Macaca mulatta: one gene and its partner. The protein of the gene in region 2 interacts with the protein of the main gene of each other region in a pairwise test. Links are inferred from orthologs where the notes say so. Each region holds a gene or a part of one and is shown on either strand. Other genes may lie near its edges.

Region 1 (3,500 bases), on a different chromosome or scaffold from region 2:
TGTTGCTAAGAAAGATATTCCCCACAACTTTATACATAGGTGATGGGATGATCTGTGCATCAAACCCACCATGGCACACGTTCACCTGTGTAACAAACCTGCACATCCTGCACATGCATCCCTGAAATTAAAATAAAAGTTGAAGGCCGTGCGCGGTGGCTCATGCCTGTAATCCCAGCACTTTGGGATCACGAGGTCAGGAGATCAAGACCTTCCTGGCCAACATGGTGAAACCCTGTCTCTACTAAAAATACAAAAACTAGCTGGGCATGGTGGTGTGCACTTGTAATTCAAGCTATTGGGGAGGCTGAGGCAGGAGAATTGCTTGAACCCAGGAGGTAGAGATTGCAGTGAGCCAAGATCATGCTACTGCACTCCAGCCTGGCGACAGAGTGAGACTCCATCTAAAAAAAAAAAAAAAAATTAAAGTTGAAGCAAAAAGAAAACACAAAACACATATATTAAAAAAAAAAAAAACCAGATGTTTCTTCCACAAAAGAGCAACTAAAATACCATACTTTATTGGTGAGCTCTTGCATAATCATGACTGAGAGGATGAATGCAAATAATTTAATTTGTTTCATGCTTTTCTACTTTGAGAAACTAATTTTTCCATTATAAAAGTGACAGGGCACGGTGGCTCCCGCCTGTAATCCCAGAACTTCGGGAGGCCGAGGTGGGTGGATGACTTGAGGTCAGGAGGTTGAGAACAGCCTGGCCAACATGGTGAAATCCCGTCTCTACTAAAAATACAAAAGTTAGCCGGGTGTGGTCACACGCGCCTGTAGTTGCAGCTACTTGGGAGGCTGAGGCAGGAGAATTGCTTGAACCCAGGAGGCAGAGGTTGCAGTGAGCCAAGATTGTGCCACTGCACTCCAGCCTGGGCGACAGAGCGAGACTCTGTCTAAAAATAATTAAATAAATAAATGATAAAAGTAATATAATATTATAACAAATTTGGAGGCCAGATGTGATGGCTCATGCCTGTATTCCCAGCACTTTGGGAGGCCCAGGCAGATGGATCACCTGAGCTCAGGAGTTAGAGACCAACCTGGTCAACATGGCCAAAACCTGTCTCCACCAAAAATACAAAAAATTAGTTAGGCATGGTGGCATGAGCCTGTGGTCCCAAGGAGGCTGAGGTTACAGGATTGCTTGAGCCCAGGAGGTGGAGGTTGCAGTGAGCAGAGATTGCAGCACTGCACTCCAACCTAGGTGACAGACCCGTGGCTTAAAAAAAAAAAAAAAATTGGAGAAACCACTAAAAACCTCTTAATACCTCCACATTACCTCCACATTAACAAATTCAGTTAATATACTGTTGTATATCACAGTATATTTTTACTTTTATTTTTACAGTATAATTTTACTTGTTTTTACTTTACCTTACACTCTTTTATGCATAAATGTTTACATAGTTCTTAATCATAATATACATTTCAATTTCTATCTCTACCATTATGTTATATACTTGTCCATGTTAATACATTATCTTCATAGATACGATAATGTAATTTACTTAATTTTGTGAAAATAGCAATTTCCTCTCCAATTTTGTGGGAAAAAAATGGGACCCCTTTTTTTGTTTTGATTTTTATTTATTTGATTACTAGTGGAATTGAAGACTTTTCTGTGTTTGTTAATTATATTTCATATTTCATTAATTACATTTTGTATCTTTTCCTCAATTATATTTTAGAGTTTTAATGCTTTTTCTCAGTTTCATAGGTCAGCGCAAGTATGTGGGATATAATAAATATCTTAATGTGAGCATTTTATATTTTCTGCAGATACTTTATGTAAACAATGGCAATCTTGGAGGTAGAAAGGAAAAAAAGATCTGGAGGAAAATGAAAATGCTATAAATAGACTCAGCTGATTTTATAAATCTGTCAAGGGCCATCCTTGTTTATGTGGTGTTATAAATTAACCCACCCACATTTTCTGAAGGCGAAATCATCTAATAATTTTTGATATATTTAGTAATTTTTAAAGTATTCTCTAGGTACTATTTGAACATTATTATAAAGTAGTAGTAAACTCTTGCTAAATTAGCTGATCATTACTTAAGAAATATTGTTTTCTTTTTGAGACAAGAGTCTTGCTGTGTTGTGCAGGCTGGAGTGCAGTGGCGTGATCTCGGTTCACTGTAACCCCCGCCTCCCGGGTTCAAGCAATTCTCCTGCCTCAGCCTCCCGAGTAGCTGGGACTACAGGTGTGTACCACCATGCCTGGCTAATTTTTGTATTTTTTTTGTTAGAGACAGGATTTCACTATGTTGGCCAGGCTGGTCTCGAACTCCTGACCTCAGGTGATCTGCCCACCTCGGCCTCCCAAAGGGCTGGGATTACAGGCATGAGCCACCATACCCGGCCTAGAAATAATTTTTAACTGCAATATATTATCTTGTCCACAGTACACCTGTCTAATTGATGTCTAATACTTGTGTGCAGAGATAACATAAAACATTTTTTGAATAGTATTTAATGTACAAACAGTATAGCAAAGATAACGGACATATTGCTTACCATCTTACCTAGTTTTTACTGTATTTGCATACTGGAGTAGTTTTTTATTTTAAATTGTAAAAAAAAAAAAAACGTAAAATTTATCTTAACCATTTTTGAGTTTATAGTTCAGTATTGTTAAGTATATTCACATTGTTGTGCAACAGAAGAAATAAGCTTTTACGTACCTATTATTTTATTTTTTAAAGTCCACTATGATGACACGGGAACAAATACAGAAAGAATATGATGCACTGGTTAAAAGCTCAGAGCAACTCCTCAGTGCATTACAGAAAAAAAAACAGCAGGAAGAGGAAGCAGAAAGGCTGAGGCGTATTCAAGAAGAAATGGAAAAGGAAAGAAAAAGACGTGAAGAAGATGAAAAACGTCGAAGAAAGGAAGAGGAGGAAAGGCGGATGTGAGGCATTTATATTATTTTGAATAAGAGACTTAAATAGTGAATTATTGGTATTCACAGTGGTTAATGACAGTTCTTTTTTGTGTTTTGTTTTTGAGACAGGGTCTCGCTCTGTCACCCAGGCTGTGCAGTGGCGTGATCTCGGCTTACTGCACTTTGCCTCTCGGGTTCAATTGATTCTCCTGCCTCACCTCCTGAGTAGATGGGACTACAGGCACACATCACCACGCCTGGCTAATTTTTGTATTTGTATTAGAGACGGGGTTTCACTGTGTTGGCTAGGCTGGTCTCAAACTCCTGACCTCAGGGGATCCGCCCACCTCGGCCTCCCAAAGTGCTGGGATTACAGGCGTGAGCAACCGTGCCAAGTTGACAATTCTTAAAACGGTGTTCTTATTTTAATGAACTAATTTTGTAATAAGTTTGAAAATTGAGAAAATAAGCTCATTTTATGATAATGATAACATAAAATAATTTTAACTATAATCTGAATTTTAGTTAGACTCTTATACCTGAGGATTTTCTTCTTTTTAAAGCTATGATTTGTTTATTGTTTTCTAAGCTAGGTAAATGAC
Region 2 (4,300 bases):
AGTACAACAGGGTGGTTGTGTCTCTTTCCTAGACCTTTGCCTTCCTTATTGATTCCACAAAGAATCAGCAGAAAGCCGTGAACTATTTTTTTGAAGACAGAGTCTTGCTGTGTTGCCCAGGCTGGAGTGCAGTAGTGCGATCTCAGGTCACTGCAACCTCCACCTCCTGGGTTCGAGCAATTCTCCTGCCTCAGCCTCCCAAGCAGCTGGGATTACAGGTGCACGCCACCATGCCTGGCTAATATTTTTTGTATTTTTAGTAGAGACGGGGTTTAACCATGTTGGTCAGGCTGGTCTCGAACTCCTGGCCTTAAGTGATTCACCCACCTCGGCCTCCCAAAGTGCTGAGATTACAGGCGTGAGCCACCATGCCCGGCCAAGCCATGGACTTTTAAATTCAATGTTTCTCGTTCCAGCTGTTTGTCTTATTAGATATTTATTGGCTTGCTTCAATCATCCAACAAATATTCCCTGGGCATCATCTGTGTGTCCAGTGCTGTGTTAACATCACCGACAGCTGTCATTTAGGATGGACATTTGGGGAGTTCGGAGAATTGGGGAGGTTACCCTGTTGCCAGGTGGCAAAGTCCCATCTGATAAGATTGAAATCAGCTCCTCTCATGCACACACTGAACCACAGCGCCTCTCCAGAAAAGCTTGGCATTTTCTCAACCCCCATGTCTCTGACCACTATATTACTTGTGTTTGGAGAGTGCTTTCTCTATCCTCTCTGCAGGACTGTGTTCTCACCTCAACTGTTGGTGGGGAGAAGGCCACCCCTGGGAGCTGCTCTGCCCTGGTACCTGGGACCAGGACTATGCACCATTGCTTTAGAGAACACCTGCTCCAACCCAGGTCCTGCACCAGGGATTTCCCCCCAGCTGAATCAGGGAGCTTACAACCACGGGTCAATAGGACACAGCAGCTGGGATAGCAGTCCATACAGGGCCAGGGCGGGCCATTAAGGAGATGACAGTCATTTCTCCTAGAGAGTCATGGATGAAGTCATATGTCAGTTGAGTCTCGACAGATGAAAGGAAGAGTGTGTGCCAGGTGGACAAGAGGCAACAGCTTGAGCTCAGGAGGTGAGTCAGTGGGTGACGCTGGGAGAGGCATTCTCTTCTTGATCAATTCAAGTGAAAAGCCCAAAGCTGTTGGATGGCTGAGAGGATGTGTAGGTCAACTTAAGGAGAAGAGCCTAAAACAGCTCTGACAAGTAAAAAAAAAAAAAGGCAGAAGACAGGCCTATTTTTGCATGTTATAAAACACTTAGAAAAAAATATCAGGATGATTGTCATGGTTTTCTTTACATTTTCCTGTATTTTTCAATTTAAAATAATTGTTGGTGTTACCTGCTGCCCACGCACTCTTCCGTCTGCAGGGGGCGCACCGGCCGCCACCGCTCACTCCTTCAGGATGATGGGCGGGGCCTCCTGGGCCGGTGTGGACTGACGAGTGGCTGGCCGCCCTGTCCATCTCGACGTCCCGCCCCCGCGCTACGTCACATGACGCAGCCCATCATGGCGGCGGGAGCGCGGCTGCCCGGGCCCGCTGCTCCGCAGGGCTGCTGCCGTTGCTGCTGTTGAGAGGCGGCGGCGGCGGCGCAGGCGGGAAGGATGGTGTTTCTGCGACTGGAGCGGCAGGTGCGGACCGGGAGCCGGACCGAGGTTTGGCAGAAGCAACGCGTGCTCAGGAGCAGCCGGCGCGGGTGCCGCTGAGGCAGCGGAGGGAGGCAGGACCGACTGACGGGCGAACGGACGGACGGACGGACGGAAGGCGACTAGAGAGCCGGCCCCGGAGCCGCGCCGTGGGCGAGATGCCGGGGCCGCCGGCGTTGCGGCGGCGGCTGTTGCTGCTGCTGGTCCTCCTGTTCGCTGGCAGTGCCGGGGCCGCGCCACTTCCGCAAACAGGTGCAGGTGAGCGGGCCCGCCGTGGGGACGGGGCTGCGGGAACAGGGCTGCGGGGTCCTCGGCGTGAGGGGGAGGGGACGGCAGGGCCGGGCCGGCCTCGGCGCCGAGGGATCGGAGGGCCTGCCCGGGGCGGGAATCCCAGGGAGGTGAGTGATTAGGGAGATTTCTGCCGCAGGGGCGTGGGATGGGGGGGCGGGGGCGAGACAACGTCGTTGGGGCTGGGGAGGGCGGCGGGCGAGGTGGCAGCCACCGACCCCTCCCGGGATAGGCTGCGGTACCGGCCCTGGACCTGTTGCCTTAAGGTTCTCAGCTTATATCGCTTCCTGGCAGTTCAGCTTCCCTTTCCAGATGTCACCTGCCTCTTGTGCGTTTTTCTCGCATCTCATAATAAGAACCGTTTCTTAGCCCTAATCGCACTTAAATGCAAATAACTTGGCGAGCTGTGCGGAGTTTGTTTCGCTCCTTGCAACTTATTCTGAAGTTGTAAATTGATTTTAGACTCTGTGCTTTTTATTCGGAATGTATCTCCGGGGATGAGAAGGAAACAACCATAAATATTTCTATTTTAGGAAGCCAGTGATTAGAGTAGCAGGCGTTGAATAACTATTGACAAACTGGCTTAAGGGTGATGGAAGTTTCTATTTTAGCTAACGTCAGTGTATGATTTTCTTCCCCCCGCCCCCCCCCCCGCATTTTCTCAACATCGTTTTTATTTGGGGTTTATTTTCCTAAATAAAACTTCAACCCAAGAAGACATCCAAAGTTGTGTCATTTTTCTAAAAAGGAAAAAAAAAATGTAGGCTAACTTGGCGTTATTGCCTGCCGCCATTATCTTTGAAATGGGGAAAGATTGAACTTTCATACATTCGTAGAATATTAGAGTTAGAAGAGACCTTAAAGAAAATTTAGACTAATTTCTTCGTTATGTAGTAGGAAATACTGGGGGTGTTGGGTCAGATGACCTACCCAAGGTGACACAGCTTCATTGTAGGCAGAGCCCCAAACCCAGGTCTTAGATACCTCTAGTTGTATGATTTTTTTTCCCATTTCATTTCAAGTCTTATAACTGTTTCGGAATACTTTTGAGGTCAAGAGTTATTTTGGAATAATGTTAATTGGGTAGAATGTGGATGTACTGTCTCCAGTAAAGACATATTTTTCAAACAAATCTGCGATGAAAGCTACATGTAATTGCTTCCAGAGCTACATCAGGGTAGCTGTCATTGAGTGCCCTTTAGTTGAACGTTAAATGTCCTCATTGTACCGTATAATGTAGCACTAAATTTCTGTCACTGCCTTAGATCAAATACTTGTGAGGTGAATTCCGTTTTCTGGTCTGATAGATAAGAAGAGTGAATGTTATCAGATGTGTATAGGCAACACCGGTAAGAGTCACAGAAGGGGCCGGGCGCGGTGGCTCAAGCCTGTAATCCCAGCACTTTGGGAGGCCGAGGCGGGTGGATCACGAGGTCAGGAGATCGAGACTATCCTGGCTAACATGGTGAAACCCCGTCTCTACTAAAAATACAAAAAACTAGCCGGGCGTGGTGGCGGGCGCCTGTAGTCTCAGCTACTTGGGAGGCTGAGGCGGGAGAATGGCGTGAACCCGGGAGGCGGAGCTTGCAGTGAGCCGAGATCACGCCACTGCACTCCAGCCTGGGAGACACAGCGAGACTCCGTCTCAAAAAAAAAAAAAAAAAAAAAAAAGAGTCACAGAAGGTACCTGGGAAATAATGAAAGATTATGTGGAAGGATGATAATGTTGATATTTAAAGATACTGAAAATTAGCACTAGTATAGGGTTGTAGGTAAAGAGTATGTGATGGGGATTCAAGAGAAGTTTCCAGATGACTTTACGCTTAATTGGATTTTTTATATTTTGAAATATCGATTCTTTGTAGGAACCTATGTCTTCCGGTACACTTTTGTTTTTGTTTTTGTTTTTTTTTGAGATGGAGTCTTGCTCTGTCGCCCAGGCTGGAGTGCATCCGCACGATCTTGGCTGACTGCAATCTCAACCTCCTGGGTTCAAGCAATTCTCTGCCTCAGCCTCCCGTGTAGCTGGGACTACAGGCCCCTGCCACTACGCCTGGCTAAGTTTTGTATTTTTAGTAGATACGGGGTTTCACCATCTTGGCCAGGCTGGTCTTGAACTCCTGACCTCGTGATTCACCTGCCTTGGCCTCCCAAAGTGCTGGGATTACAGGCATGAGCCTGGCCGCCTGTACACTTCTTACATGGTTTTTATTCCATTCTTTTACAATTCTATGGTGTCATGAATTATAAAAAACCGAGTATTGTTGGGGTATTGTAGAACAAAGCAATCAGAAAAGTTAATCTGTAAATAAAGGTATCAAATCTTGACATAGATAAAGCGTAAGGAAATATTT

The links. The genes of interacting proteins can lie anywhere in the genome.
Region 1: the proteins of LMTK2 (region 2) and MYO6 interact in a two-hybrid assay, tested with the Homo sapiens proteins (2 studies listed by BioGRID). The link is inferred for Macaca mulatta from reciprocal best matches to the Homo sapiens genes LMTK2 and MYO6.

Annotation. Positions count from the first base shown.
Region 1 is NC_133409.1:109,843,821-109,847,320, reverse strand, and holds part of MYO6 (unconventional myosin-VI), read left to right. Parts: intron 1-2,716; coding exon 2,717-2,925; intron 2,926-3,500. UniProt on the Homo sapiens protein: Myosins are actin-based motor molecules with ATPase activity. Unconventional myosins serve in intracellular movements. Myosin 6 is a reverse-direction motor protein that moves towards the minus-end of actin filaments.
Region 2 is NC_133408.1:45,286,457-45,290,756, forward strand, and holds the start of LMTK2 (serine/threonine-protein kinase LMTK2), read left to right. Parts: upstream 1-1,500; 5' UTR 1,501-1,816; coding exon 1,817-1,916; intron 1,917-4,300. UniProt on the Homo sapiens protein: Phosphorylates PPP1C, phosphorylase b and CFTR.